Arabidopsis thaliana: one gene and its partners. The protein of the gene in region 1 interacts with the protein of each later gene in a pairwise test. Each region holds a gene or a part of one and is shown on either strand. Other genes may lie near its edges.

Evidence for each region.
Region 2: the proteins of AT4G11860 (region 1) and DIC3 interact in a protein complementation assay, tested with the Arabidopsis thaliana proteins (one large-scale study listed by BioGRID).
Region 3: the proteins of AT4G11860 (region 1) and AT5G67050 interact in a protein complementation assay, tested with the Arabidopsis thaliana proteins (one large-scale study listed by BioGRID).
Region 4: the proteins of AT4G11860 (region 1) and AT4G30660 interact in a protein complementation assay, tested with the Arabidopsis thaliana proteins (one large-scale study listed by BioGRID).

The regions. Positions count from the first base shown.
Region 1 is NC_003075.7:7,131,171-7,142,084, reverse strand, and holds AT4G11860 (FAM63A-like protein (DUF544)), read left to right. Parts: upstream 1-3,574; 5' UTR 3,575-3,723; coding exon 3,724-3,922; intron 3,923-4,273; coding exon 4,274-4,392; intron 4,393-4,481; coding exon 4,482-4,588; intron 4,589-4,669; coding exon 4,670-4,757; intron 4,758-5,095; coding exon 5,096-5,801; intron 5,802-5,956; coding exon 5,957-6,187; intron 6,188-6,348; coding exon 6,349-6,403; intron 6,404-6,492; coding exon 6,493-6,574; intron 6,575-6,660; coding exon 6,661-6,741; intron 6,742-6,874; coding exon 6,875-6,988; intron 6,989-7,082; coding exon 7,083-7,132; intron 7,133-7,266; coding exon 7,267-7,387; intron 7,388-7,752; coding exon 7,753-7,848; 3' UTR 7,849-8,189; downstream 8,190-10,914. Other genes in the region: AT4G11870 (uncharacterized protein), read left to right, coding at 1,366-1,590; PLDGAMMA1 (phospholipase D gamma 1), read left to right, coding at 9,148-10,110, 10,388-10,504, 10,594-10,788, 10,878-10,914.
Region 2 is NC_003076.8:2,947,195-2,954,749, reverse strand, and holds DIC3 (dicarboxylate carrier 3), read left to right. Parts: upstream 1-4,054; 5' UTR 4,055-4,236; coding exon 4,237-4,663; intron 4,664-4,922; coding exon 4,923-5,509; 3' UTR 5,510-5,618; downstream 5,619-7,555. Other genes in the region: AT5G09500 (Ribosomal protein S19 family protein), read left to right, coding at 1-140, 231-288, 458-706; AT5G09490 (Ribosomal protein S19 family protein), read left to right, coding at 1,567-1,569, 1,667-1,815, 1,903-1,960, 2,124-2,372; AT5G09480 (hydroxyproline-rich glycoprotein family protein), read left to right, coding at 3,135-3,569. UniProt on the Arabidopsis thaliana protein: PUMPS are mitochondrial transporter proteins that create proton leaks across the inner mitochondrial membrane, thus uncoupling oxidative phosphorylation.
Region 3 is NC_003076.8:26,756,362-26,764,097, reverse strand, and holds AT5G67050 (alpha/beta-Hydrolases superfamily protein), read left to right. Parts: upstream 1-2,900; 5' UTR 2,901-2,932; coding exon 2,933-3,230; intron 3,231-3,310; coding exon 3,311-3,541; intron 3,542-3,634; coding exon 3,635-4,269; intron 4,270-4,346; coding exon 4,347-4,616; 3' UTR 4,617-4,720; downstream 4,721-7,736. Other genes in the region: AT5G67040 (F-box protein, putative (DUF295)), read left to right, coding at 5,623-5,789, 5,872-6,202; ABA1 (zeaxanthin epoxidase (ZEP) (ABA1)), read left to right, coding at 7,008-7,513, 7,599-7,736.
Region 4 is NC_003075.7:14,952,219-14,958,974, reverse strand, and holds AT4G30660 (Low temperature and salt responsive protein family), read right to left. Parts: upstream 3,597-6,756; 5' UTR 3,506-3,596; coding exon 3,416-3,505; exon of another isoform or gene 3,166-3,415; coding exon 3,031-3,165; 3' UTR 2,975-3,030; exon of another isoform or gene 2,815-2,974; 3' UTR 2,804-2,814; downstream 1-2,803. Other genes in the region: AT4G30680 (Initiation factor eIF-4 gamma, MA3), read left to right, coding at 1-288; AT4G30670 (Putative membrane lipoprotein), read left to right, coding at 1,070-1,378; AT4G30662 (uncharacterized protein), read left to right, coding at 2,445-2,792; AT4G30650 (Low temperature and salt responsive protein family), read right to left, coding at 4,277-4,408, 4,483-4,572; AT4G30640 (RNI-like superfamily protein), read right to left, coding at 5,293-5,833, 5,941-6,305.

The DNA of each region.
Region 1 (10,914 bases):
GTTTTGCCTTGACATATAACTTTCTTATACATAGAGCTGAAAATGTACTTATTATATATGTAGTGTAGTCATGAATGGTGGTAACATACATTTAGCTAATTTTTTGCGGTGTACATATAGACTGCAATTTCATAGTTGTAATATTATCAATAATTCGTATACGTATACAGAATTATCAATACTAGCACTATTTATTTGTGGTCATAAAACCGTTTTCACAATACTTGTGGATTGTAAAACATAAACATATTCTCGATGGAGATGTCGTACGTCCACAAAACACCGAGCTAGCTCGGTTGCAAAAACCAAGCCATTTTGTAAACACAAGTCTATATATCATACAAATTAAGTCGGTAGAATTAGTCACAAAATGTGAGAAAAGCATGATTTTGTAAAACACAATTCTATCATTTCATACAAAGAAAAAGTCATACATATATATGCATTGAATTCCAAATTTAAATTTCTTACTATTTCTGACATATATATGAATCTGCATTTAGATGTCTATTGGTACGAGTTTTATTATAACAAAACCACACTCTTCCGATGACAAAGCGATAAAACAATGCTGCGTATTATGACTTCCGTACGACTTCACATGGTCACGCCATTCTCTCTTCTTTATTTGCGCTCATGGCCACTCCTTATTTGGTGCATTTCTAATTTCTCTACCCACTCCCTCATTTTTACTTTATTCTTCTCTTTTTTGCCCAAATTTATCATTTTTATATCTGTAATTATTGTTCTACTAGCACTTAGCAGGTGCTTAGCCACTATTGGATGCCTTAATTTTTTCAATTAATTAGCATTTATTCTGATTCATCTTTTTAAATCTCGATACAGGTGTTGCACGCTGTGAGGACCACAAGCATTAGCCAAAATATATACTGTATTAAAGTGTTGTTATATATTGTTTCTTTCTCATAATTATTTAGAATTTTGGAAATTGGTATGTGCATATGTATTACAAGCGAACGGATCTAATTTTTACTTGCTTCGTTTTCTTATGTGAACATATCCCAAATTTCAGTTGTAAACTTAAGTCGTTGTTGTTATTATTTTTTTGTTTGTTAAGGGTTGTTATTATTTTTAATGAGATATTATTATTGTTAATTTTTCCACTTTATCGAGTCAGCAAGCCTTATTTCGAACTTCGTGTAAGAGGTTACTGTGGCTTTGGACCACTATGCCATATGTGATTAATGAATGAGTCTTTTTTTTAATGTCTACTGTATACATCTTATTTTTCAATTAAAGAAAGCGTTAGTGTAAGAAAAAATTTATAACATATTTACAGTAAATAATTAAGAAAATAACACTATATATGTATCAATTAACTAACTAATCTAAAGGGTTTATTAAATGATTATAGGTGGTGGCGGTGACTCTGGCGACTGCAGCGGCTCCGGCGACGGCGGTGACTTCGGTGATGGCTCCGGCGACGGCGGCGACTCCGGCGCGACGGTGATTCCAGCGGTGACTCCAACAACGACGGTGGTTCCAGCGATAACTTCGGCGACAACGACGGTGACAGCTCCGACGATGGCAGTGACTCCAGTGACAATGGGAACCCCAACAATGGAGTAATGGCTCAGGTGATGGCATTCATTCCGGTAAGGACGGTAACGGCGGCAGTGGCGGCAGCGGCGGCGGTGACGTCGAAGGTGGCGGCAGTGGCAGCAGCAACAGTGGTGGTGGTGGTGATAATTATTGTGGGGGTGAGGACAAACTTGTAATATTATATATTACATAATTATTATAGTGTAAGTTTTTTGCAATAGATTAGTTTCTTAATTAATAAGTTTTTTTTAGGTTATACATGCAAATTTCGCTTATAAAAATAAAATGATCAAAAAGAAAAGAAAAGAATGAATTAGATATAATGAATACTGAGAACAAACGAAGATATATGAACAAAAAAGTTAAAAATGTTAAGTTTTATGGTTTCTAATTCGAAACTAGTTAACAATGAATAAAGAGATTTATATTTTTTATACACTAGTCAAGTCTATTCTATATTTTTAATGTGGAATTTTTTCTATACGCTTCTTGGAAATAATGTTTTTCTAGTTATTTCGACAGAATTTAGTTTTTTTTTGAACTATTAATTAGTAAAGATGACCAGACCACTTTCCGGACTGGATTAGTGAATCATGTGTTTTTGGACTCTGATACCATGTTAAGTTTTATTGGTTTTTAACTCAAAATTAATTGACAATAAATGGAAAGGTCTATATCTCTTATATACAACTCAAATCTATTAGATTGTGCGGTTTCAACTCAAAACTAATTGACAATAAGTGGAAAAACTCATAACTTATATATATACCACTTAAAATTATACTCAACTTCTAATGTGGAACAATATTCCTAATATGCCTCATTGAGATCGATGGTTTTTCTAGCCATTGATCACGATATATTTGGTATAGATCGATGGACCAACTACTAAACCGGACCGATGTGTATTGGGTTGAATATCGGCTGACTCAAAATGATGCAAAAGCCATATGCCTCGAAGTTTTATAATTGGATTTCATCATCTATACGCGTGATAGTATAACAATTAGGTTTCAAATGGCCTGTTGGGCTTTTAACTATTCAATTACAGCCCATATATATAGTCAACATTAAAAATACCAACACATTGTCATTGACATGTTTGTACAAGCGTGGTCAAACAGAAATGATGTTATTCTGCTGCTTCATCAATTTATCTCCCTTGTGAATTGAGATTGATGGTTATAATGTTATGTTACTAACATCTTAATATATAAAGTTTGGTTTCTCAAAATTAGTCATTAATGTGATAATTTATAAAACATAATTTCTACAGTATTTTCATGTTTTTAATAAAAATACATGCTTATATATTGAAGTGAAATAATTACTAAACGGAAAACAATTAAAGTGAAAAAACACACCATTGTTTAGACGCAGGCCACACTTTTATTTTGGTTCTGTTTTTCGATTTAAACCTCAAACCTCATAATTCTTTAAACATTCAAATTGTCCCACCGTTTTTATAGATTCCTTCTAGATCGTCAAACACTTATATTCTTCCTTTTCTTTTTGTCAACACATTCTGACATTCATATAACTTTTCGTGTAAAACTATAATATAAATAAATGTGATAAATACACTTCTAATTCTTTCGTAAATGATATATCAAGAAATTTCCCAAAATTTTTTAAAATGTTACGTGTTATAAAGAAATTAATTAGGAATAAAAAAACTATTAAAAGATGACTTTTAAGGAAATGAAATGACGGTGTTATGATAAGAAATGAAGAATTTTATCATTTAAATTGACCTTTCCCCGAGAAGATACGCACTAAAGATACCCAATTGGTTTATCAAAACCGTAATAATCGAACCATAATTCTTCTCATACATCAAATACCGGAATAAATTTGAAAAATTGGTCGTTACTATATTTGGTTCAATAGCAATTTAAACAATACCGGAATTTCGATTTGGTACGTACCGGTTTGGTTATGTGACACATTTCAATATCAACCTTCCCATAAAAGTTCTTTCTCGTAATATAAATTAAATCCTCTTTGCTCTCTCGCTCGCTTCCTCTTTTCGATTTGGATCAGAAAAAATAAAATTTCTTCGGAATTTCCAATAATCTGTCTCTCTTCTTCTTCGATCGAAAATTTGACTTTTTTTCGAATTTGTTTTTTCATTAGCTTTGGTTGATATCATCATCGTCAATGGCGACCGCTTCATCTTCAGAATCTCCGAGCGAAGAAACGCAGACGAATCAAGAAGCGATGCAGCAGCAAGATTTACCGAAGGAAACTACTACGGAGGAGGAGATTTTGTATAAGACGAAATCGATTCAGTTCCTTGGAAGAACCACACCTATCATTCTCCAGAACGAAAATGGACCTTGTCCTTTGTTAGCCATTTGTATGTTTCTATTTTCTCCTTTTTCGTCCTCATAAAACTTCATTCAGATCGTAAAAATAGGGTTTGGAAAGTGGAATTTCGGTGTTATGATCATTGATTCTTTAGGTTTGCGTTACTGATTTTGTGGAATTTGTAAAAGAAATTGAAGAATCGGTGTTAGGTTTGCTTGTTCCGTACAATGTAATGAATCATTGATTTGATGGTTAGTGTACCGAACATCAGATTTTGTTGTTAGCTTGAGCTTCTCGTAGAAATGACAAGTGTGAGAATTTGGTATTTAGTGTGCTTAATAATACTTAGATCAATTAACACTTTGATTACTGATTGTTATTTGATTTTGGGATGAAACAGGTAATGTGCTTCTCTTGAGAAACAACTTGAATCTAAATCCTGACTGTTATGAGGTTTCTCAAGAGAGATTGATGTCCCTCGTGGTCGACAGACTCATTGATTCCAATAGTAAAGTCAATGTAAATAAGCTGGCTTCTTATCTTTGCCTGTTCTTTATATTATCTTGTGGCTTGAATCTATGTGAATCTTTTATTCTTCTCAATGGCAGAACAAAGATGAAGGATATATTGAGAATCAGCAACAGAACATTGCTGATGCAATTGATCTTCTTCCACGCCTTACTACTGGAATTGATGTCAATATTAAATTCAGGAGGTTAATACTTTGTCAGCTGTTTCTGCTTATAATAGGTAGAAATTCATAAGTTAATTATCATGAGTGTTTACCTGGTTGCAGGATTGATGATTTTGAGTTCACACCTGAATGTGCAATATTTGATTTACTTGACATTCCCTTATATCATGGATGGATAGTTGATCCTCAGGTATATCATTTTGTTTCATACTTTATCAGAATGGCTCTGTCTGCGCGTAAATAATTAAATTTCATTAGTATAGGCTGTTGACGTTTTTTAATTTCGTTCCTGTCTTTTGTGTGTGGATGTTTGGGATGTGGGGTCATCTTCTCTTCTTTATCTTCTTGAGAGTTGAGAAACAAAACATAGGTTACTTTATTCTTTTTATCCATTGTTTGGCTCGTTTTAAGATGGATTGGAACAGTGGTCAAGAGCACTCATTTTAAGATGGTGTCCTTATCAATCCTGGGCCTGTAGTAAAACTGTAAAAGTATTGATTCAATTGTTTCCCATGTGCATACCTACAGGATGTTGAAGCAGCTAATGCAATTGGTAGCAAATCGTATAATGCTCTTATGGGTGAGCTAGTTGCACTGGAGACACAGAATGTAGAGGCTCAAGGCGATCAAAATCCCGGAGAAGATTCTGTTGATTTTGCTGCGGCAACTACTGCAGTTTTAGGGGTTCCTTCACCTTGTCTTTCGAAAACAAGATCTTTTGATGATTCTCCACCTGCGGCTGCAGAGCTTCGTAGAATGAGAAAGGGGGATCTTGAAGAAGAAACAGAGTTGTTGCAAGCCTTGCAGTTATCACAGGGGCAGGGGAATGATCCAACTCCAAACACTAACGGAGACTCAACCAATCAAGATTCTGCGTTCACATTTTCAGATGCGAGTCCAACTAGCACCCATATTACTAATATCAGTCAGCTAGACCAGTTCAAAACTGATGATGATAAAGCATCAGAAAATGATGGGAATATGATCAAAGTTGGGAAATTTCCGACAACGATTACAACTAAAAGTGAGGATCTTAACCATGATCAATTATCTTCTAAGCAATCTGGAGGTGAAACGGCTTGTGATGTTGAGAACGTGAGTAGCAGCAAAGAGGCCATTGTCGATGTAACTTCTTCTGAGGCACTCTCTGTGGATAAGGGTAATCTGGAGTCAGCGAAAAGTGAAAGCAGTTCTGAGAGTGTACTCAAGTCTGATGCAGCTTCTATTGATCCAGGTAGTTTTTTTGACTCTTCCTTAGTTGGTGTAACCTTATAGATGTCTCTATACATAAGTATAGTACTCCTCCATCTTAATCATTTTACTGGCTAAAATTGCATCTGAAGATATTAGATAGGAAAATTCTTACTCAGATACCCATTGCATCTCCAGATTTGAGTTGCAGATCCCAGCATGATGATGCACCCAACGCTTTTATCCCACCTGTATCTACCGATGAACCTATGTACGAAGGTGAGGAATGTGTAAACACAGTGCCTCCAGTTTGTGCAGACAAAGAACCCGTTTATGAAGGTGAGTCACTTCTTGGTAAAAGGGTTGAGAAGGATGTTGGTGATTGTTCTTCTGAAGGGAGGGCTACGGATGGGCTCACAGCAGAAGAAGGTAAATTATACTGTGTCTGATCTACTTGTGATACACTTGAAATACATTTTCGGAAACTCATACATGCATGCCATTGTGGTTAGAGCTGCTCTCTTTGCTCTAGTTCACATTTTTCCATATATTCTTGCAATTATTAAATAGTTGTTCTTGAGTTTTTCCAGGTGAACTAATCAGGAACTTTATGAAGAATAGTGCAAGTCAATTAACCTTTTGTGGGTGCGTGATCTTATTCATAGTTAGGAAGTTATATTTTAAATTGACTGCTCATGTATTATCTTACATTGATTATTGATCATATCTTACAGACTCTTTCGCTTGCAAGAAGGCCTCAAAGAACGTGAACTCTGTGTTTTTTTCCGGAACAATCATTTCTGCACCATGTTCAAGGTTTGTTTAGTTTGCGGTTATTTCCATCTTTGAATTGCAACAGGTTAATCCCAACTAAATTCTTCTTGTTGCTGTCATATTTTCAGTATGAAGGTGAACTTTATCTTTTGGCTACAGATCAAGGTTACCTGAATCAGCCTGATTTGGTTTGGGAAAAACTAAACGAGGTATCAGCAAAAGTTACTTACTCACCATTTGTCTTATCTGCTAATTTTGGCTTCTTAGGAGATATCTCTATATCCACAATCTCTTTAGAGCTATGGCTGTTGTGACCACTATTGACATGCAATCTGGTTTCAGGTTAATGGTGACACTGCATTCATGACTGCTACCTTCAAGGACTTCACGATCGACAGCAGCACAGGTGGTGCAAGTGGCACATGGGATGAACGAAACGCAGTCACAAATACTGCTGTATGTTCTCCTCATAATATAGTCACTAATCCACATTAGATCTCCTTCTTTTACCTTTTTAATCATTTTTTTTCTTTTGGTTCTCCCTACACAGGATTATCTTGCCAGCATCAACAATGTAGCGGATGCAGGCATAGATGTCAAGTAAATATTTCATACCTTTCTTTGACCACTAACCCATTGGTTCTCACCAGAGACACATTTATGCATTTGTTATAACTGTCCTCTTAAAAACATATTTATGATTGTTTAATTTTAATTCCCATGGTACTATGCAGTTCTGATCTGCAACTAGCAATAGCTTTGCAACAACAAGAGTTTGAGGACCAGAGCCCACGTAGTAACCCAACTCCACAACCAACTAGCGTTGCTGCCTCACGATTGGTCACTGGTCCACAGGTATTTCATTCCTACTCATAACACTATATTCTTAAAAAGCAGGAATCGACACAAATGGTTAACAATGATTATAAGAAAAGGTAAATTACCGTGTGACCTGCACATTGCAACAATATACAACACTGATTATTAAAATAGTAAGAGAGTATAGCCTTAACAAGCACATCTGCAAGTCCTGTTTAGTACATTTGTTTTCTGTCCATATACTTTACCGACTAAGATGAGTTTACAAGTACCAATTGCGAGTGTAAAACATCGATAATGATCATACACCGTAATCAGAAGCTCATTGAATATAATGCAGCCTTGCTTCTTGTGGTGTTTGGATGAATGTTAATGATCAGATATTGTACTGACCATTGCAGGTACCAAGGAGCAGCCACAGGCCATCATCAGCTGCGTCTTCGAGACACGACGGCAAATCCCCTAAAGATAAAGATAGCAAATGTAGAATCATGTAAATCCTCATTTCACTTATGTAAATTTCCAACTTTTTCTTATTCCCTAACTAATTTTAATCCTTAAAAGCTTTTTGGTTTTAACAAAAAATAAACTGTAATTGCGCTTTGACTAAACTATTTTTTGTTGCTCATAAAAAATCAGAGCTTTTCTTTATCCTTTTGAGAAGTGGGAGACGAATTAGAGTTTGTGTTCACGTTTTGGCTTTCGTTCTGTTAAGTTACTCTGATCGCCGTTACTTTTTTGACGGAGTAACGGCTATTGTCCGTGATGCCTTTTATAATAATTCTGCTTAGCCGGCTCGGTTTGACTAATCGCCAACTTTTTCAAGTTGTAATCGGAGAATGTGATTATTAATCCCTAATTAAAATACTTTTTATCTGCATTAGCTAATCATTTTGACTAGTTATAAACTTAAAATAATAAATAAATTATATCCTAATCCCTCAATTCGAATTTCAAACTAGTTTGTATTTCTTTACAAGTTCAACTTTTTTCTTTTCACTATAAGATAATGATGTGCTAAGACCACGACTGATAGATAATATGAATCCACTAGAGCTGTTGAAAATTATAGTTCAAAATTGAGGAAGACTTCAACAATGAAAATGTCTTCTCCATTGAAGAAAATGTCTTGATTTATTATTCAATACGCAATTATATGGTTTAATTTAGTGATTTTTCGAATGTTTACTTCTTGTTGATAATAAATATTAAATAGTAATATGATTTCATTTCAAGAAAATGTCATGCTTAATTATTACTTACACTATTAAGTCGAATGTTTAATTTCTAGTTGATATATAAAAATAGTAACATCACCACTCAAATGAAGTTGCATCAAAAGAGGGACCAGAGAGAAAGAGTTTCGTGAGCAGCCAACAACCAAAGTGGAAGTCCTCTTAGTCGTCGTTACTAAAAACAAATAATTTATTAGTTTAATTGAAGATTAATTTGTGTTATTAATGGCTAAAGTTAGAACGATTCAACAACGGCAGCCAATATCTTTAAAATGTTCCGATTCTTCCGTTTCAAGTCAACGTTCCCTTCGTTTCCTCCCACCTTCTTCTTCACAAAAATCTGAGATTTCATATAAATTTGCCCATATTTTTAGATCTCCATTTGATCTGAGTTTGTATTATCACAAAGTTTTATCTTCTTTTTTTTCACTCTTCAGTCTTGATCTCTCGATTATTGCCCACCAAGTGATCGATCTTTTGTCTCACTGAACTCGGTTACGCTTGAGATTTGATCTAACAGCTGAAAGTTTCTGACTTTTTGGGTTTTTGATTTCGATTTTCATGGCGTATCATCCGGCTTATACTGAGACTATGTCTATGGGAGGAGGGTCAAGCCATGGGGGCGGCCAGCAATACGTGCCGTTTGCTACGAGTAGTGGCTCTTTGAGGGTCGAATTGTTACATGGTAACTTAGACATTTGGGTTAAGGAAGCTAAACATCTTCCTAATATGGATGGTTTCCATAACAGACTTGGTGGGATGTTGTCTGGGTTAGGTCGGAAGAAAGTGGAAGGTGAGAAGTCTTCTAAGATCACTAGTGATCCTTATGTTACTGTCTCTATCTCTGGTGCTGTGATTGGTAGAACTTTTGTTATTAGCAATAGTGAGAATCCTGTGTGGATGCAGCATTTTGATGTACCGGTTGCTCATAGTGCTGCTGAAGTACATTTTGTTGTGAAAGATAGTGATATTATTGGATCACAGATCATGGGAGCTGTTGGAATCCCAACGGAGCAGCTGTGTTCGGGGAATAGGATCGAAGGGCTCTTTCCGATACTTAATAGTAGTGGGAAGCCTTGTAAACAAGGTGCTGTGTTGGGTTTGTCTATTCAATACACTCCAATGGAAAGAATGAGACTTTACCAAATGGGTGTTGGTTCTGGTAATGAGTGTGTAGGAGTTCCCGGTACATACTTCCCTTTGAGGAAAGGCGGTAGGGTTACTCTGTATCAGGATGCTCATGTTGATGACGGTACTCTTCCGAGTGTACATCTTGATGGTGGGATTCAGTATAGACATGGAAAGTGCTGGGAGGATATGGCTGATGCAATAAGGCAGGCAAGAAGGTTGATTTATATCACAGGTTGGTCAGTTTTCCATCCGGTTAGGCTGGTTCGTCGTACCAATGATCCCACCGAAGGTACATTAGGGGAGTTGCTTAAAGTCAAATCTCAAGAAGGTGTTAGAGTGTTGGTTTTGGTGTGGGACGATCCAACGTCAAGGAGTCTTCTGGGATTCAAAACAGTAAGAATCTACATAACTCTGTTGTTGCTTCTCTGTTTGCGTGAATGCTGAGTTAAAAAAATATGCAGGTTTAATACTATGTTCTTAATTTTTCGCATAGGTTTTTCTCTGTGTTTCTATTTAATCCGGCTAATGTTCCGTATCCAAAATAGATCCACGCTACTGTCTATCTTGTTGGAAAGCATGAGTTTGCTTCAGTTAGATCGTTTTACATGTCTGTACTAACTGAAGCAATGATCCTTCTATCGTTTTAATGAAAGCTTTTGTTTTGTTGTAGCAAGGAGTTATGAACACAAGCGATGAGGAGACTCGCCGTTTTTTCAAGCATTCGTCGGTGCAAGTTCTCCTTTGTCCCAGATCTGGAGGGAAAGGTCACAGCTTCATAAAAAAATCTGTAAGATGCTCATTAGTTACTGCTTACTGCTTAAACTCCCGTGTGTATAGTTTCATCATCTGAAATTTGAGTGTCATTATGATGATCAGGAAGTTGGAACAATCTACACGCATCATCAAAAAACTGTGATTGTAGACGCTGAAGCAGCTCAGAACCGAAGAAAGATCGTAGCATTTGTTGGAGGGCTAGATTTGTGCAACGGACGATTTGATACTCCCAAGCATCCTCTCTTCAGGACATTAAAGACACTCCATAAAGATGACTTCCACAACCCAAATTTTGTGGTAACCATTTAAGAAAAATCCTCCTTGGTTGCAGTTTTGGAATTAAAATCGCTATTCTTGATCCATGTAAAATCTGTTTTTCTTATTAGACTACTGCGGATGATGGACCAAGAGAACCATGGCATG
Region 2 (7,555 bases), on another chromosome or scaffold:
GATCCAGAGGTTGCTGCGGCTGGAATCGTAAAAAAGAGAACGTTCAAAAAGTTTTCCTTCAGAGGAGTCGATCTTGATGCTCTTCTCGACATGTCTACTGATGATCTTGTCAAGCTTTTCCCTTCCCGTATCCGTAGAAGGTTAGAGGACTCTTTGAACCAGAGAGCTTTGTCTCAATTTCGTAGATCGTCTCTTGTTTTTTAGACTGATCAGTTTTGTTATGTAAATAGGTTCTCTAGAGGATTGACGAGGAAGCCTATGGCTTTGATCAAGAAACTGCGGAAAGCGGTACAAAACTCAAACTTCTCCATCAATAATTCTTTGTTCTAACTAGATCTTTGCCCTGGAACGTGTCTTCTTAGATTGTGTCTTCTCAGATTCATGCCTCTCTATATATGATTTTTGCAAGCAAATGGCTTTAAAACGCTAAAGGTTGTGACTCTCTCTGTATGAGCAGAAAATTGAAGCACCAGCTGGAGAGAAGCCAGCAGCAGTGAGAACCCACCTAAGGAACATGATCATTGTGCCTGAAATGATTGGAAGCGTCATCGGTGTTTACAATGGAAAGACTTTTAACCAGGTCGAGATCAAACCAGAGATGATTGGACATTACTTGGCTGAGTTTTCAATCTCATATAAGCCTGTTAAGCATGGTAGGCCTGGTGTTGGTGCTACCAATTCCTCCAGATTTATCCCTCTCAAGTGAATAATCAAGCTCTTGTGGAGTTTTGTTATGCTCTAAATTCGAGTCTTTCGTTTCTTTTTCTTTTAGAACATTTTGTCTTTCTTTTTCTCTTCTCTCCTTTAGATTTTGTTCAAACTCTTGTTCATGCCTTCAAATAATACAGAGCTTTTTATTTATAATCTATTAAACTTTGCTCTGTTTATTGAGTATTACTTTAAATTTAGAAAATAATTCAGGATTTATAGATAGATATCTTTCAATTGCATTTTTAAACTGCATATATTAACTTCAAAAAAAAAAAAAAATCAATATCTGGATTGCTTAGTTTTTTTTCTTTGTATTGCAGATCGATGGTTGTATATTGAAAATAAAAAATAACACAATGACCCTATTTATAAATAGAAGAAAATTTCAATTTCTTTTTTGAAATTCACAAACTATATATCTATTTCTATAAGATATCTGTACATAATTTCCTTGTATTTCGAAGATAAATACAAAATGTATGACCAATTTTATCCTAAATCAGTTAATTTTACATTAAACTAATAATTAAGTTTTGATTTTTTGGGGGAAAATTGTGTATTTATATGTTTTAATTATCAGTTTTTATAAGGTAAGAAAAAAAGAAGTTTTTCTATTATAAGGGAAGAAAAATATTTAAATATTGATTCATATGTTATTTTAGAAAGACAATAATGTAATAATTGGTAAATATTTATTGACGTTTCCTTAAACAGAAACACTGTAGGATCTATAATACATCTGTGTATATATATATATATATATATATATATTGGGTGCCAAGTTATGTCTCTTGTCGTATCTCCATAGCAAAACCCTAGTTGCAGTCACTTTCCCGGCTTCTCAAACCAAGAACAATGGTTAGTTTCTTGATCTCCATCTCTTTAAACCTTAATTATTCGATTGTTAGATCCTTGAACCCATCATGGTCTTAAATTTCTCTGTCGAAATCCGTAGGCTGAAGTCGAACCAGATGTTTCCGCAGCTGCTCTTGCGAAGAAGAGAACGTTCAAAAAGTTTTCCTTCAAAGGAGTCGATCTCGATGCTCTTCTTGACATGCCCACTGATGATCTTGTCGAGCTCTTCCCTTCCCGTATAAGAAGAAGGTTTTGATCCCACCAAAAATTTTGGTAGATTATATAACTCTTGTTTTAAATGATTGGTTTTGTTTAATTATGTTGATTATTTTGTAGGATGAGTAGAGGATTAACGAGGAAGCCTATGGCTCTCATCAAGAAATTGCGCAAAGCGGTAAAACTCTAACTTTCCAATATAAATCTCTGTTGTTATTGTGTCATAGTTGTTATTAGTCTGTGATCTCCCAACATAACAATAATTTTAGTTAGGATCTGCCTTTTGATTGGTTGGCTTTGATTATTATAATAACACTAGTCTCTAATTTACTTTAAACCAGAAACTAGATGCACCAGCTGGTGAGAAGCCCGAAGTAGTGAGAACCCATCTAAGGAACATGGTGATTATGCCTGAAATGATTGGAAGCATCATTGGTGTGTACAATGGAAAGACTTTTAACCAAATCGAGATCAAACCGGAGATGATTGGACATTACCTTGCGGAATTCTCAATCACTTACAAACCCGTTAGGCACGGCAAGCCCGGTCATGGTGCTACACACTCCTCTAGGTTTATCCCTCTCAAGTGAAGCCATTTCAAGACTTCATTCTGCTTTTACAATTTCTTTTGTTTTGCTCATCTAAATCTATCTTCTTATCATCATGTCTCTGACACTCTAGTGTCTTTAAACTTTTCTTATTATCGTAAAAAAAATTCTTGGTGATTTTCTCTATAATACTTAATACCATTATGAGTTTGGACTTGAGTTAGTCTTTAATTTTTTTTTTTTTTTATCTCAGTCTTATTTTTTATTTTATTTTATAAGTCTTAAAATTATTTGATTTTGATCCTTATATATTTTAATAATCTACATAATGCGTAAAAATACACTTTTCACTTGAAACGGTTACAAGATAAAATAATAAAATCATATGTAAATGTATTAATAATGAATGTTCACAGGTAAAGAAGGGGTGATGCATATGAGACGTAAAATACAATATAGGTATTGCTAACTTTAAGATTTCTTGTAATGTTTAGTATCAATAGCTTTAAAACAAGTATATATATTAGGTTCGAAAGTAAACTTAAAAGGGGTTATACAACTAAGACGTATAATGAAATATAGGTGAGTTTGTTGAAGACTAACATCACATTCTCACAATCGTGCAGTGAGATCTTCTCACCAAATTTTTTTGACTCTTATGAATCTACATTCTAAGATCTCTCTCATCTCAATATTATTTAAGAAACCATTCTGTAAACAATATATAGCAAAACACAAACTCTCTATACTCACAACATTGTTTAACTCATCTTTCTAAGTTGGTTTCGATTCAAGAATATCACAATGACTAATGTTCGCCTTCCTATTCTCGTCTCCTCGGTCTTGTTCCTTGTCTTTATTTCATCGTCCCTCTTGTTCCCTACACCTAGTTTTGCTGCTAGAGTAAGTCATTCTCTGGTGCAAGAAGAGGTCAAAAAGGTTCCAGAATACACAGAACCTGAGGAGCCGGAAGTTCCAGAAGAGCCGGAGCTGCCCTCACCGGAGGAGCCTGAGATTCCAGAAGAGCCTGAGATTCCAGAAGAGCCTGAGGTTCCTGGAGAACCCGAAGTTCCTGAAGAGCCCGAAGAACCAGAAGAGCCAGAAGGGTCAACATTTGAATTTCCATCATGGTTTCCGAGCTTTCCTATTCCCGGTGTTAATGGCGGTTTGCCAAAGACTGAAAAGACAAAACCTACATCAACAGTTGAAGAGGTTAACGTTTCTAACAAGAAGCCATAGATCAATGGGTAAAGAACGTCAAATGATTATATAAACTATATATGCAATTATAGTTTTGGTTTGTGTTTGGTTAAAGATGAGAGATTACATATGTATTACAGTATTAGAGTCCTCACCATGTCATGATTGAGTCTCTAAACGCTCCTGATATAATCTCGTACTAATTCTCTCTTGTAATATGTATATCTCTTGTGGTACAAAAAATATATATATAACTCTTAAGTAAATCATGTAATGTAAGATATTTAATTAAAGATATAATGTGTCAATTGTCGGTGTATATGACGTTCGTCTTAATGAAACATCAAATTTTATGAGTAGATGTTAGATATAGAACATTGGTTTCATTGACCAATATTGGTTTATTCCTCTAGCTTCAATTATTCTTTTTCTGTAATGCCAAGGTGTGCATCAAGACAAAACAAGAAACATTGTGCTAAAAGCTGGAACCCGTAATTCAGGACTAGTACACAAACACAACTACTCGTTGCATTATTTTCTTCTCAAGTAGTTTGTCTTCTTCCATTCCAACTTGTTCAATTTCATTTCTTCTTCTCCAAACATTTTATTACAAAAGATCTATTATCTCCCAAACTCTTCTTTTCTTTCAATTCCCATTCCTCAAAACATTCTCTCCTTACAATAAAATCCTCCGGTAATCGTTTCAATGGGCTTCAAACCATTTCTTGAAGGTGGCATCGCCGCAATCATCGCCGGAGCTCTGACTCACCCATTAGACCTCATCAAAGTCCGTATGCAGCTTCAAGGCGAACATTCTTTCTCGCTCGACCAAAACCCTAACCCTAATCTTAGCCTTGATCATAATCTTCCCGTGAAACCTTACCGACCCGTTTTCGCTCTTGACTCTCTCATCGGCAGCATTTCCTTATTACCCTTACACATTCACGCGCCGTCTTCTTCCACGCGCTCCGTCATGACCCCTTTCGCCGTAGGGGCACACATTGTCAAAACCGAAGGACCCGCCGCTCTCTTCTCCGGCGTCTCCGCCACCATCCTCCGTCAGATGCTTTACTCTGCCACCCGTATGGGTATATACGACTTTCTTAAACGAAGGTGGACTGATCAACTCACCGGTAATAATACTAAACTCGATCGGCAACAATATTACTCAAAAAATAATTTTGGTTTTTATTCGGTTTGGTTTGGTTTGATTACACTAAAAGTCGTTTACAGTTCTCGGTTATTGGTTTTAAATAAGAAAACCAATGGATTTATAAACAAATGCTGGTTCGGTTTCGATCTTAAACAGTTTCGGTTTGTTTGGTTCGAATTTTTTCCATATTATTACACAAAAGATCAAATAAATTAAACGTAAACGATAATTCCAAACAGGTAACTTCCCATTGGTAACCAAGATCACAGCTGGACTCATCGCAGGAGCCGTTGGATCAGTCGTCGGGAATCCTGCTGACGTGGCGATGGTGAGAATGCAAGCCGACGGAAGCTTGCCGTTAAACCGTCGCAGAAACTACAAGAGCGTCGTGGACGCGATCGACAGGATCGCAAGGCAAGAAGGCGTTTCAAGTTTATGGCGTGGCTCATGGCTAACCGTGAACCGTGCCATGATCGTGACAGCTTCTCAGCTCGCTACGTATGATCACGTCAAAGAAATCTTGGTAGCTGGTGGCCGTGGAACGCCGGGAGGGATAGGAACGCATGTAGCGGCGAGTTTTGCGGCGGGGATCGTCGCGGCGGTGGCGTCGAATCCCATCGACGTTGTGAAGACGAGGATGATGAATGCGGATAAGGAGATTTACGGTGGACCGTTGGATTGTGCGGTGAAGATGGTGGCAGAGGAAGGACCAATGGCTTTGTACAAAGGGCTTGTTCCGACGGCGACGAGGCAAGGACCGTTCACGATGATCTTGTTCCTTACCTTGGAACAAGTTCGTGGTCTGTTAAAAGACGTTAAATTTTGATTAATTTTTTTCAAGTAGTTAGGTTAATAAATGTTTGAGATTCCCATATTTCTTCATACATTTCATATACGTTTAAAATATTTTGAAAATAATTATATAGCGATTAAGGTAATATTTACTAGAGATTTTTGTATAAAAATAAATTATTTATTTGCACAAATATTTTTTTTAGTAAATGCGAAAACTGATAGTGATTGAAGCAAAGGGACTTTTTCGGACGGTCCAAGTCTCTTGGACTTGGGGGATATACTTTTGCTGGGGACCTTCATTTGGTATATTCCTTTTTTTCTTTGGGTACTATGTTCTATTTTCTTGGTTGACAGAAAATATGAAATATCGCTTCTAAATTACAATTTCTTTTGTTTGTTTGTAAAAATCTAAATTAGAAATTATGCAAAAAATTATAAGAAAATAAGATTAACAATAATGTTTTTCTTTTATTGACTTTGATCATATTATCTCTATAAAAGAGAAATAAAATCTTTCTAAAGTTTTTTTACTTGAGTTTGAAGCTGGTGGCAATTTGGTGTTTGTTTTATGAGATTGTATAAGAGTTATCCAAAGCTGAGACATGGCCCAAAATAAGTCCAAGGCCATGTTTAGGCTCCATTTTGCATGGCCACTCCACTCATCTAACCAAAGCCCAGTCTCAATTATGTGAACTGAAATTTCTATGTTTTGTTTTTTCACACTGAAATTTCTATCTAACTGTCTTTCTTTTAACATGTTTCAATGATTTGCTTCCGAATAGAACACATAATAATTGTTTCCTAAAATTTTAAGAATTTTGAAGTACATAGTAGGCATTTGGGTCCACTGATCTCACACGGCAACGACTATTCTCAAATCTCATATCACATCAAAATAAAGAAAAAAGATTCAACGAGAAATTAAAATCTTTAGAAAAAATGTTCCAAAAAGAAAAAGAAGTCATCAAGGCAATTAAGCACTTAATTCCCTGTGCATTTTTTTAATCATTCACTTGCGTCTCTTTCTCTTTTTCTTTTTTTTTCTTCTTTCACCAAACTTGCTTACCTCTTTATTCGTTTTCTTTTCTTTCTCCTATGATCATGGAATTTGGTGGATGCTCCAACGTTTTTCACCTCAATCACTTATTAAAATATCATGTACAATAGTTCGTAATTATATATGAAAAAACGAGTGGGCTAAATTGGTGTTTTATAAGCCACGTCAAAAATATTGTATTATTTAGCTAGCTACTAAACTAGTCAAATATGTTACAATGTATATAGTTCAATTTGTATCGCGTCATCGTAAAGACATAAATGTTCCAAATCATCCCACCCACACACCTAAAAAGAAAGGTTAATACTTTAAAAATAATGATTATAGAAACCACCAAAATGGTTAAAAACTCACTTCCACTATTTGGCTCATAATTATAAAGAAAAAACGTTGCCCCCCCCCCCAAAAAAAAAAAAAAAGTTAAAAAGAAGACGAACATATAATGGCTTTACTTTAACGAACTACTAAGAAATTCTCACGTTTATGATATTACATAATTATTAATTTATGGCTTGAAATTATGGATCGCGAGGGTTTGCCATTATACATCATAATTACATATATTCTACGTTCCACCTCCTCTACTCCTCGTCCCATTGCAACCATCCAAACTAATAAAAATATTTAGATTATTTCTACCATTCAATTCAAAATTATATGCATTTTAAATTATACTATATGTATTTTCTAAAATAAATTTAAATTGAACTGAATTAAATAAATTTAATTTTTCTTTATAAAAAATATGTGTTAGAAATATGAATTGAAACTCATACTAAAGTGTATTTTAGTTTTAATTTCTACTAAAAAGAATAGTAAAAAATCAAAATAATAAGACTATATCCAATGTTCAATTCTATTTTTTCTTCTATTTTAAAATTGACTCTATTTTAAAGGTATTTTATTTCATTGTATGACTCTAAAATAAAGTTTTCTCTAAAATAGAAAACAAATATAGAGTAAGTTGTCTTTTGTTCTATTTATAGAGTAATCTCTACATTTTTCTTCTATTTTAGTAGT
Region 3 (7,736 bases), on another chromosome or scaffold:
CAATCAAGAAACCGGTTTTAGTCCACTTTTTCACTTTTGCCCTACTCGCTACAATTAATACTCATCTGTTGTGAAAACTGTCTTCACTTATCGTCACATTTAATACTAATATTATAGGTATCAATGTAGCTTATTTTCACATTGTTGTTATGTGTTACTGATTATAAGTTTATAACTCACATCATTTCGAATTGGAAGCACTTTGTAATTATAATTTTTAAGTTAGTTAAATTCAAGGGAAATGTATAGTCTACAAACTTATGAAATTCAAAAACGAGAAGATAACATACGGGTCCATCTCGATTATTACAAAATTGGAAATTTTTCACAACTTTGTTTCATATAGTCTTGGGACTTTATTATGACCTTCGATTTGTTGTTCTCTTTTTTCTCTCTCGAAAGATCTGTGAAGAATCTATGTGACAGCACAGTGGGAACAAAGGATGAGTAAATAAAAAAGAAAAAAAAAACGTTAGAAGGACCACAGACATATATACATCGACATGTCTATAATATATGAATATGATTGGTTAACCTTTGCATGGTAGTGGCCAAGCTGTCTCTTAGTCCATTGTATGTTGATAATTCTGATATTGAACGATATTCGATGCAAATGGTTACAGATTCGATTGGTAAATGATAGCGTTGTAACTAGTTATGGTAACATCAATACAACTTATATGAGCACATCGCATGTCTTTGAGAGGCAAGGTCTAGTAGATACAAACATTCTAGTTAATAAGAAAAAGTTAAATAAAATCGTGCGATTATTACATTTAGTTGGTAGTTGGGTGATCCAATTACCAAAAAGAAATATACTGTATAAAAAATTGTTGTTTGATACTAAGTTAAACGATAATTAAGAATAAACCTTTTTGCATATATCCAAATTTGAATATCGGAAACAAATAGCATAGTTTAATTGTTTATTTGTTTAATAATGTGTAATGTACCAAAGCTGAGATAGGCTGCCTCCCAAGGCAAGGTAGCAATACAATCGTGTTCATGTCCCAAGCATCATCTATACTCGTTGCTCCACTAACAACCCACTTTATATTAATAATCAAATTGAATCAATATCAAATTATCAAAAAAATAATCAGTCCAATTATTTTCGCACAATCTAGCAAACAAATAAAATATTCACCCCATAGAATTTTACATTGTTGTTTGGTTATTGAAAATAAAAAATCGTCCCACGTGAGATATCCCACAAAGGTCCCAACATCACCACAGAGAGTCTCTGATCATTACAATATCCTTAAGATTAGATTTATATAGACATTTTCTTATAATATCTTCTTGGGCAAGTGCTCTGTATTCTTCTGACACATTTCTATCGTCTTCTTCTTTTTTTATTTATTCTTTTGTTTTCTCTTTGAAATATTGAAGAAATTTTGATATTTTTCCCCTTTCTTGTATTATCTTTTCTTCAATGCCTTTTTCCTCCTTCCTCTTCTCTATCTCTTTTTTTTTTTTGTTCCGGATAAATTCTCATGTTCTCCGTGACAGGATAAAGTTCATGCATTCTTCTCTGTTATCATTGGTGTTATTGTAATCTAATTATATAATTTCATACCAAATGCATGTAAACTAAACCATGCCAATCAAAAATGGGATCAAATAGTATTCGAGATAGTCAACTTTGATGGCATTATAAGGTTACCATATAATAGTAGGACAATTTAACTGCAAAATCGAACCAATTATATGTTTTAAAAAAAATTCCTCTGCAAAAAAGTCAAAATCTATATCTTAGAAGGTAGAAACGTCCTAAAACGAAAACGTAGACGTACTCATTTTTATGTAATTTGAAAGGATAAAAGTAGTAGAATTCGGAAAAGAATGGGGACAAGCAAATAGGTGGGATGATAAAGATTTTGATTTTATTGAATATAATATAGTATGCTTTTAAAATGGGTAGGTATTGTTGGGAATGCAGATCCCAATTTTATCTATTTTGGTTTTTGTATACTTTTTTTATATATATATCTTATTGATCTTTCTATTCTTTTTGGGTTTTGTTGATTTTCGGTATTTTGGTGCATTCTTTGACTACTCGCATCTAGTCTCTTGTGCTATGTTAAATGTACTCATTTATAATTTCCCGGTGCACCTCACACGACATATGAAAAACAAAACCATAATATAAGATAATGTTTTCATTTCGATGATATGGATATCAGAATATTTCCTCCTTTCGTTTATAGATTTGTAATTTGTAAAGTATCACGTACAATACCACTAATATGCATCCATATACGATCATATCAGTATATATATATATATATAATATGTATACATTGTTTTGGTTCTTGGTAAACAGACAAATATCAATGATTCAACAGATCTAGTTGTTAGAATTTTAATCAACGGATATATCATCAGAAAAGAAAAATTATGTTCAAACTAACGTCTTTTGTTAATTTAGTCCTATAGGTTTACATAATTATATATGTTTAGTTATACATTTTGATAAATGTTGTACCATTTTTATTTAAATTATGATCAAATTGTTAATTTGAAAATATAATTTTTAAAATGGTATAATTCACATGGCCTTATTGTGGGAAAAGAAAAAGTTGGGTTGAAAGATCACTATTCAATGGGCACATAACCTATATTGTCAGCCCACAAATAGGCCCACTATATTATAGGTTACCGTTGGGGATTTTTTTTTTTGTTAGAGATGAAAACTCTCAGAAATTTTAAAATTTTCCAAAACATTAAACCCACGTGAAAAATTCATATTCCAAAACCAAATGTGTAGATCACTGTTGCAAAAAAAAAACAAATCTCGTTTTCCACAACTCCAAGTATATTCCAAATCTACAATACGGTCCATTCTAACATTATAAATAGAGTTATACGTACATAAATAATTGCATTCGTACAATATTCTAGTACTATACTAACACAAAATCGAATCAACATGATGAACAGCGACGATGACGATGAACCGAGAGGATATCTGATTCTCCGACCGGAAGAGCTCCGGCCATGGGAACTTGTTCGTTTGTTATTCTCCGGAGATATAGAGAAACCGAGATCAGTGGATAGCTCGGAAACCGAAGAACACAGTTTCCGACATCGATGGCTTATCTTTGTCTCTCTCGTCCTTCTCAAGCTTCTTCGATTCTTCTCCAAGCTTTTAGCTCTCGTTGGCTCCGCCTTAGAATTCTCTTTAAACTTCCTCTCCAATAACTCTTTCTCCGGTCTCTTCCTTCGAGGTATTGATGTTTTCCGTTTATTCGTCTCTAATAACAATTACAATTTACAATTAATACTAATTTTGTGGATATGTATGCAGGAGAAGTGGTGATGCCGCAACGGACATCGGAGAATTATCAGTCATTTATCGGACATTTAGACACGAGGGTAAGTTTAGACATGACGTTGAATCGTGAAGATGGAGAGAAATACTATGCTGCATTGTCCATTATGGCTTCAAAAATTGCCTACGAAAACGCAGCCCGTATTAAACATGTCGTCGAGAATCACTGGAATATGAAGTATTTAGGTCTCGTTGACTATTGGAACGGTATGATTATATAATAAAAGAAATCTTAGTAATTTAATCTTATTTACAATTTAATCATATTTTTATAAAGTTTTTTTTTGTGGTTGAAAACAGAGTACCAAGAAAAGGAAACAACACAAGCCTTTATAATGTCTACTGACGAAACAACAACAAGATCCAACGGTCAAGAAACGACGGTGGTGGTTGCATTTAGAGGCACAGAACTGTTTAATTCCGAAGATTGGTGTTCAGATTTCGACATTACATGGTTTGAGCTCCCAAACATTGGGAATATCCATGGTGGTTTCATGAAAGCTCTAGGGCTTCAAAACAATTGTAGTTGGCCTAAAGAACCTCTCTCAAACCCTGATCGAAAATCCCCTTTAGCTTACTACTCAATAAGAGACTCTTTGAAAACTCTGATCGCTCAAAACAAAAACACCAAGTTTGTTCTGACCGGTCATAGCTTAGGAGGAGCCCTCGCGATATTGTTCACGGCTGTGCTTGTGATTCACCACGAGACCGAGTTGTTGGAGAGGATTCAAGGGGTGTATACTTATGGACAGCCTAGGGTTGGAGATTCCAAGTTTGGTGAATTTATGGAGAAGAAATTAGAAAAATATAATATAAAGTATTATAGATTTGTTTATAATAACGACATTGTTCCAAGATTGCCGTACGATGATAAGGATTTGATGTTCAAACACTTTGGCACTTGCATCTACTACGACCAGAACTATCAAGCAAAGGTTTACATCTATCTATCTATCTATATATTCACACTTGAAAATATAAACTGACGACCAATATTTTTTGTGACTTATAGGTAATGAGAGAGCAATCGGACGAAAACTTTTTCTTGTTGCGAGGGATTATAAAGATGATGTGGAGTGCTATATTGGAGTTTATAAGAAGCTTCACTATAGTGGCTGAGAAGGGCTCGGAGTACAGTGAAGGATGGTTGTTGAAGGGTGGTAGGGCTTTGGGGATTATAGTCCCTGGTGTTTCAAATCATACACCTCAAGATTATGTGAATGCCACTAGATTAACCCTTCCTTGTGTTTTCCAAGTCTATAGAGATGTATCCATAACATAAAAGGGTTTATCTTTGTAATTATTGAATAAAATGTTTATACAATAAAGTGGTTTCTGGTGGTAGAGTCTCAAGAAACCTTCTGGCGGAAAATGCAATTCTTTCTTGGTAAACTCACAAAAACAGAGCCACTCTGTTTTTAATTTATTCTTATGGAAATTGCGAAATCTGAATTTTTTTGCATCTCTTTGTGTGTTTGCAGAAGAATTCTAGAGTTGTGAGTATTAATGGGTATGAAGATGTTCCTAGAAAAGACGAGACGGCGTTGAAGAGAGTAATTTTCATACCAACCGGTTAGCGTAGCTTCAAGCAAAGCCTATTGTTCTCATCATCATGAAGTGAATTCTTCTCATCTTCTCTTCTCTTTCCATTCCAAGCCAAAAGCGATTCCTTTGCTTCAGTCCCAAGTCTCTCAGCCTCTAGAGCTCTGTTTCCAAATCATCCATTGTATTGCTTCTTTCTCGTCATCGCTGCACCAGTCCCTGGTTTAAGTTCGGTCTCAACAGATTTCATCTCTTCTAACAAATCATATATCCTTAGCAAACATGAGCCTGTGCTTCTACAAGACTGTCCTTAGTTGATTCCATCTCATTATTGCTCTAGTTTCCTCGTAAGTCTAAACTAAGTGAAAAAGGGGAAATAACAAACACAAAAAGAATTTTAGAAAAAGGAAACATCAACGAATGCGTGAAAAAAGGAAAGTTTGAAATTCCCAAACAAAGTCTATATATACAGAGAGAGAGTTATAGAGTAAGAAAGATGCATTTTCTCTGATTTCACCATTACCTTGTTCAATTTCTCTAAGTTTTTCATCTCTAAGTTTTCTCTGATGTTCCAAGACTTTACTGTGGCTGCAAAGTTCTGTGGAAGTCATCTAAGTGTATGCAAGCCTTGTTGGGACTCAAAGTGGACTCACATTGAGACCTCGTTACCTCTATATCCAGCCTATAATATCATGTTTTCCAAGAGAGACAAAGCTTTCTACTTCACAAGTGTTAAGGGTCTTTACATGGGTTCACTGCATCTCAACAGCAACAACAACAAGCTCAAGTATCAAAAACTGCGCCTCTCCAACCTCCCCAAGATTCCTGACGCAGGTCGGGAGATGTTGGATCAATGTTTCATGAGCAAGCACTTGGTGGAATCTCCCTCTGGTGAACTTTTCTTGGTCAACTGGTAAGTTTGTCTATTAAGAGGCTAGCTACTTTTGGATAAATTCAAAGTAGAGATTGAGCTGCTTTCTTCTCTTTATGCGCAGGTACGCACAATGCATTCACACAGAGGAAAAAGACGGAGAAGTGGAAGGTCTCCACAGCAAAACCAAGCGGTTCATGGTCTTTAGGGAAGATGAGAAGAGCAAAGACTTTAGTTACACGGAAGATATTGGAGATCTCTGCATCTTCCTTGGCGCAAGTGAAGCGTTCTGCCTCACGGCAAGCATGTACCCGGGGCTTAAACCTAACTCTATCTATTACATTGGCCATGGTCTTGGTTCATACGATCTAACCTCTGGTACGGTCCATTCCTTTTACCCTCCTCATGCACCAATGCTCAACCATGTTCCTTACTGGATCCCTTCTCATCTCTGAGCTCTAGCCTCTAGGCTATGGGTTTGTTTTACGGTCTTTATGCATCTACTCTCTACTTACTACTGTTGAGTGTTCTTTTGTTAACTACTACTTTCTGGATCCCTACTCTTTATGTTATAACCAGGTGACACAATATTATTAGTCCACATCGTATTTGACTCTTCCGTCACCATTCACGCCCATCTTAATGGGCTTGTGTTATTTTCTATGAGCCGTTATTTTGGCCCAATAAAATGTGCAGCTTAGTACCTATAAAAGACCATTTGATTTTATGATGATGAAAAATACTATTATAACAGATTTATTTCGTCGACATATCACAATTAAATTTAAGATTTATATATTAAAGAAAAAAGTTGTGACACGTCAACCAAAAGTTAAAATAAAAATCAATTTAGTGGCTTAAAATGGGGATAAGAAAACAATATTGAAAATTGATGATTTATCCACTCACAATCCAAAAAAAATCCACCACAAGCGCTGATCACGTCACGTTCAAATATTTTTACCAAACATTTCTAAATATATTGATTAGTTTATTAAATGAATTTCTAATGGAGGAGAGAAAAGACATGTCAACATCAGAAGGCGATATTTGTAGGCACTCAGAGATGAAGTGTGTTGCGTTGCTGATGCCACCTGTCTCCTCCTCCTCCATCATTTGCCTCCTTCTTCTTCAAACCAATTTCTTCTTCTTCTTCTCTCAGGTTTGAGTCTGAGGCATCACAACAGATAAAGTCTTGAACTTTGATCAAGAATTCTAAACGGAGTTTTTGCTCTTCTCGTCGGTGAAAGAAAAATCGAGATGGGTTCAACTCCGTTTTGCTACTCTATCAATCCATCTCCATCAAAGCTTGATTTCACGAGGACCCATGTGTTTAGTCCTGTTTCTAAACAGTTTTACTTAGATTTATCATCGTTTTCCGGAAAACCCGGAGGAGTATCTGGGTTTAGGAGCCGTCGAGCTTTGCTCGGAGTAAAGGCGGCGACGGCGTTAGTTGAGAAGGAGGAGAAGAGAGAGGCGGTGACGGAGAAGAAGAAGAAATCGAGGGTTTTAGTTGCCGGAGGTGGAATCGGAGGATTGGTGTTTGCTTTAGCGGCTAAGAAGAAAGGATTCGATGTGTTAGTGTTTGAGAAAGATTTGAGTGCTATAAGAGGAGAAGGAAAATACAGAGGCCCGATTCAAATACAGAGCAACGCTTTAGCTGCTTTGGAAGCTATTGATATTGAAGTTGCTGAACAAGTTATGGAAGCTGGGTGTATCACTGGTGATCGGATTAACGGTCTCGTTGATGGTATCTCTGGTACTTGGTGAGTTTCCCTGAGATCTCTTGATTGAGTAGCCAATCAGATTATTGGAAACTTGTGGTGATATTTTTGTTTGTGAATCAATTAGGTATGTAAAGTTTGATACTTTCACTCCTGCGGCGTCACGGGGACTTCCTGTGACTAGAGTAATTAGTAGAATGACTCTGCAGCAGATTCTAGCACGTGCGGTTGGAGAAGATGTGATTAGAAACGAGAGTAATGTTGT
Region 4 (6,756 bases), 7.8 Mb from region 1:
AAGAATGTTCTAACTCCTAAAGACTTAAGGAATGGTTGTCTGCTCTATGGGTCTATGCTCGATGACATTGGGATCGATCTGCCAAAAGCGCCAAACAACTTTGGGGAGATCCTTGGGAGTTTGGTTATGGCCAAAGCATCGGATTCTGAGTTGGTGAAAGAGATTCTAATGAAAATGGGAGACGAATGGTTCAAGAAAGCAGTCTTGGAAGCTGTGATGAGGAGTGTTAGTGAGTCTCTACTCACTACGGAAGCAGTAGAGGTTGAGGCTTGCCGTGGTTTGGTGTAGTTTGTGTGGTTTCTTTCTTCTCAATACATGTTTTGATCAGTTTAAGACCCCACGCTCGCCGGAAAAAACAGGTGAGATCTTTCTTGTAATCATTTATTGAAAAATGTTAAGAGTTAATATCATACTTGTAATCGAAATTAGATTCAGTTTTATTACTCTGTTTTCTTTTTCTTGGTTTGTGCTTTTTCTTTTGGTGCCTTAGTTCATTATTCATTTGGAAGAGTTCAAGATGAGGAAAAAGAAAAGAATATGTTGAATTGTACTCTTTATAGATAGTCTTGGAATGAAAAGTTTAATTTAAATAATCAAGTAGTTGTCAAATAATCATTATTATTATTATTGTATTTTATCATGTTGGTGGTTTACTTTAATGGGAACAGATGAGCATTTCAAAATAGATATTTAAAAAATATCACACTAATTTATACATTGAAAAATGACATTTAAGGATATTTCCCATTTTTCATACGTAGTCAATCATATAAAATTTGAGATTTTAATACGTTGACAGAGTCATATGATCCTGGATCGTGTCAAAATGTCTCTTGTGTAAGTAAGAAGTTTTCCAAAAGAAAAAACAGTTATGAGCTGTCTTGATGATTATATCACTGCCTAGTTGTTAATTAAGGAAGAGCTCATCTGTTTGGTTGCGTGCACGAAGAAGAGAGTATGGTACAACTACTTTCACACAAATCTATAAATACACAGACACACTCATAAGTTCAAAAAACACAAGATAAATATATTTTCTATTCAATTTTGTTTAAAGAATAAGAAAAAGATGAGAACTTCTTCTCTTCTTGGTTGGTTTTTGATCATCTCCCTCTTGTTACTTTCTCAATCCCTCATAATTTCATGCGGACGCCATACGATCACTCCTTTGGGTCGGGAACTAGTTGAACATGAAGAGAACAAGGAAGGGTCATCCGGTCATCACCACGACCATCTTCGAGTCTTCGTGAGGAAAAGCAAAAGCAAGAGCAAGAAGAAGAAGGACAAATCAGCAGCCACTCGAACCCTTCTCTCTAACCCATTTACCTATGTATCTACTGTTGTGAGTTCCTTTGTTTTATTGCTCGCCGCATTTTAATCCAAGATAACAGGTTGCGACTTTTTTATTTTATTTGTCAAATGGCTTGAATTTGCGTGTTTGTTTGAGTTTGTATTTCCGATCGAGTTTAACGATTTGTTTTCTTTTCCGGCAAAGATTGAGTTTGTAAGTCTTCAATGTTTGAAAAGTTGTCTGATCTGGTTTGTCTAATATTGTGGTTCCAGTTGTTTTGTTTAATGAATAATAACTGATTGTCTAAGACAATTTATCATTGACACACAACTACATGCGACTATTTTTGGAATTTTTTTGTTTGTTTGCTAAATTGTAAATATCATTAATATGAATAATCAGAACTTACACTTTGGTTAAACCTATACAATTGTGTACTTGGCCAAAAAAAAAAAAGAGTAAAAAACAAGAAAACAAACTTATGTGGGAAAATCTCGGGCCAGTTTATCGCAGCCATAAGATTTCAGAAGTGACCCCTTTGATTTTTTTGGCGGTGATAGTGTTCTTAATCTCACGATCAATTATTTTGAAGACTGAGTGGAGAGAGAATGCAGGTATAGTGAACATTGTTCCTTTGTTTATTCTTACCATTAACAACAACCTCTTTAAAACATCTACTACATGAATTCAATCAAATTCAGTTACAATTAGAACTAACTACTAGGCACCATTTCCCTTCGACCACTATTTGCCTTACGTTGGAAATTCACTAAATTCCATTTCACATAAGAAAACGATAAATAATAACATTTGGGTCTGTTACCCATTAGGCTTAATTAATCATGATCCTCCCTTACGTAATTAGATTTTGCCTCTCGGAAACTTTCTTTGTTGCTGGCAAAAGGAAAGTTTCTTTGCTAATAAGTAATAAGTATCCCAATAGTTAAATACAATAATAGTATTAAACATCATTTCAAAGAAGAAGTAGCCCATGTTTAAGCCATGGTCGTTTCGTTACCTAAGCCTAGCGATATTATAAATACTAATTCTTTTGCACACATAATGCGTCCCATCATTGTAAAATTAACACATATTTCTGATTTTTTTCGATCAGATACATGTATATACACACATATTATTTGATAAAACAGAAATGAGGACTTCACTGGCATTTTCTTGTTCATTGATTGTACTCCTATTGTTACTCTCTCAGCCTTTGCCAATTTCATCTGAAAATAAGGAGAGTGAACGAAGACTTGCACAACACGGTGACTCCAATCCGTTGGATCATCATGACTCTCTTCGAGTTTTCATGAGGAAAGCTCGTTTTGGTGGTGTTGGTGGTGGTAGTCGTGGTGGTGGTCGTAGCCACCGTCGTGTCCCCAGTAGTGGTCATGGTGCGGGTGGATCATCCGCTACTAGTCGACCTTGTCTCTCGATGGCATTGCGCTACGGTTCCACGGTCGCGAGCTCAATTCTGTTGATGTTCTTCGCCTTCTAATTAAACTCTTTTTTTTTTTAACCTTTCAATTTAATAATTTAATTTGTGCCTTGCGAAAACACTATGTCAACAACCTGATGCATAAGCACACATAGCAGGAGGGTTCATAAGCTGATAACAGAAGAAACTTTCAATATTGCATATAAATGACACACAAACGTTTTCAAATCTCTGAAAACAACTGCAAAGCAACTTTATTGGTACAAGTCAAAGCAACACAGTTCCAAAGAAACAGAAATCAAGCAGAGTAGATGGGGCGTCTGTATTCATCAAAGTACTCTTCACGGTGCTGAAACACAATCACGTAAATCGCATATATTATCCCCGGGACATAGCCTAAGATCGTCAACACCAGGCATATCAAAAACTCCACCTGCCAAAACAAACCACACATAAAAAAAATTCAACTTTCTTCAAATGATTATCCAAGCTTTCAGGAATCAATGAATCAAACATAAATTGATCCAATCCAGAGAATTTCTGCGATTCATATCATAGATTAAGCACTCCCTTCATTACTCATACCAAATTACATTATAATCAATCCAAAATTACAGTCTCTATAAGAAGTTCCAGGATTCTTCAAAATTGAGGAATTCGAAAGAGAGAGAGAGAGAACTTACAGTGCAGCATCCTTTCCTGAAGCAAACTCCGAGAGGAGGAAGAAGGATCGCGATAATGATCTCGCACAGAATCTCACAGTTGCTCGGCATTTTTTCAGAGAGATGAGATGAGAGAAGAAGAAGCTTTAAGAGTTTTTTTAAAAGACAAAACACTGAAACTTGCTGTCACAGAGTTGAGAGTACCAATGAAGAGAGATCAGTCCACGTTTTATTTTGTTTCCACTACAAAGTCAATGTGCGAGATCTGCACCGTTCATTTATTGATATTTAAATCGTACGGCTTTAGATTACATCTCGTGAATCACAACGAACGATATGGTGCACCCTTATCACATCAGATCACTTTTAGATATTTTAGTCTCTGACTCATCCATGTGACTAAATGGGCCTGGGAAGGCCTGTCTATTTTATTAATCCCGGGACCAGACTGGAATTGGACAGAAACGTTTTGACTCAAACGGTGTCGTATTACTGAGACTTTGATTCCTCAACTCACAATCATTGTCATTATTTGCCAAAGTAACAGAAATCTATCTTTTTTAGCATAATCTATACCATAATATATGTTGGCATCATACAAAATCCTTTCAAACTCAAAAATGCTTCCGCATTTTGCGAAGTTTAAACTCCGGTAAATACAATCTTGGCAAAGAATTTGATACATTAACTCTTAGGAAGGTCCGTAGCCTGACTTTGCAAAAGCCAACAAGTTATACATCAAAAAGATAAGCAATGTATCAATAACGCGACAATGTTCTCAAATCTTCAATACATAAAAATTGCAAAGCAACTTATTATTTGGTACATGATAAGTAAAACAGTTTCAACAACATATTGATCCGTGTAATGGACCAAAACAGATCAAGCTGAGTTAAGTGGAGCTCCAAGTTCGGTAGAGCCTTCACGGTTTTGAAACACGATCACGTATAGTGCATAAATTATCCCTGGGATGTATCCTAAGATTGTCAGCACCAAGCAAATCAAGAACTCTACCTGCAAAAAAACTAAGAGTCAGATTTTCTAAACTAAATCTCAAGATTCATGATTCCAAAATTCCAATAACTTACAGTGCAACAGCCACGTTTGAGACAAACTCCAAGAGGTGGAAGAAGGATCGCGATTAAGATCTCGCAGAAAACTTCCATGTTGCTCGCCATTTTTTCAGAGATGTGAGTGAAGAAGATTCTTGAATGTGATCTGAATTAGTGGAGAAGAAGAGAACACTGAAAGTAGTCGGTAGCACAGAGATCCAATTAAAAGAGCAATCCACGGCTTTTTATTTTTGGCGCTACCAAGTCAACTACGAGATCTGCACCGTTTATTTGTTTGGTATATAAATCGTACGGCTTCAGCTTACATGCCGACATCTCGTAAAATTACCTTACCTTGCCCCCACTCTTTAGATATTTTCATCTCAAGAACACGCAAGGTATGGTGCAACACAACACACCTGATCATTGTGGGATATTATTACTCTGACTCGCCCCCTTATCGTACGGTTAATGGATCACGTGACTAAGTTGGCCTAGAAGGCCTGTCTTCTATTGTTTCCGGGACCGGACTTTGATTAGCCCAATTTTTCTGTTGCTTGCTTAGATGGCAAGCTATCTCAGTACATTTACTTAACCCATTTCCCTCAATGTTTATTTCACTTAACACTATGATTCAGACCTAAAGCAATGAAGAATATTAATAGAACACACCAAAAGTTGGGAATTTAGTGACAAGACAAACTCACAAAGAAAAAGGGTTTCACATTGTTTTAGGAATTCAAACATAGATAAGAACAGAGTAAAAAATGCCATAGAGGAAGCTCTGAGCATAAAAACCGGTCAACAAGTTGATCAAAACGTGCGTCCAACAAAAACCAAACACCATCATTCCTCTCTTGGATTACCAGGTCTTGGAACGCGTAAAACAGCAATCGGAGGATTGAAATCCGGCTTAATGATCTCCGTCAAATTCTTCAAGCCCGACGTATTAGTGTTTATATCACTTCTGGTCAATGATATACATCCGCGTAAGTCCATGTACTCTAGATTCGAACATCCCTTACAAACCGAGTCAAGTCCTCTAGCAGTCAATGTGGAGTATCGAATCTCCAAATGCTTGAGCTGTGTCATGTATTTCCCAATTATTCTAGCCTCTATATTCCCATATCTAGGAAATGTAGCCAGATAGTCTAGTGGCGCGACGATTGTTGGCAGGCTAGGACCTAGCCGGGGCAACAAATTCCGTTTCAGAATCTTTAAATTTTGGCAACTCCTCCCCAATGTTATCAGAGACTCGTGAGTTATGCCATAAGAGTAGCTTATATCAAGTTCTCTAAGATTTGGACAGTTCATAGCTATCTTCTCCATTGACGCATCTGTAACATTTGGGCAGTTCTTTATCCAAAGTACCTCTAGATTAGGGCACCTGCAAATGGAAACCACATGACATTTTATTCATTCTATCAAAACTCTGCGATTAACCTCTATGGACTCAAGCTAAAACTGAGAATTATCACGAAAAGTGATACGTACCTCTCGGCGGCGTAAGATAGAGAGCGTTCTGTACAATGCCTGATCCGAATCTCTGTGAGACCTCCTTCACTCCGATCAACAACAGATCGGAGAAATGAATCGACTTTATCCTCAAACTCGGGAGTCCACCAGTTGATCGACTCAGGGAACGACAGAAACCGAGTTTCGAGGTCGAAGATGGTGTTTAGTGTCGGGTCATAGCATGCGTTCATCCAGTTCTTGCTGACCAGCATCGGTCCAATCCATCTTTGTTCCTGGCTTAGCCGTGAGAAGATGTCAAGAAGACATTCTCGAGTCAACTCAGACCAGTCAGGGTAGAGTCCCGATCCCATCTCCACCTTTCCTTCCCCGCCGTTGACTTCCATAGGATTGAAGAACGCTTCGTCGTTTTGAGTACGAATAGACTTGAAATGTTGAGACTTTTTTTTATCGTCAATGGAATAAATGTAGTCAATGGAAACAAAAATGCTGAGACTTTTTCAGCTTCTATAATCAAGCATGCTCTTTACCTATTACAAAACAGAGCTTTTTTTTATTGGTCATTAGTAACCTTTCCAATTTTGATATCCAGTTTATATTAATGTTCTGTCAGTTTGAAGTTGGAGCAAAACGGTTCTGCTCCTCGACTTTGATTAAGAGAATGAGTAAGAACATCCAACAACAAATGAGATTCCCTAATTACCAAATTGGATTAAAAGGATAATGTAGTCACTTATGACAAGAGTTATTATTCAAAGGTTTTCCTATGTTGGACATATGGAAGTAATGACTTTCTAAGTCATCAAATCAAATCTTATATCTATATACTTGTATAAG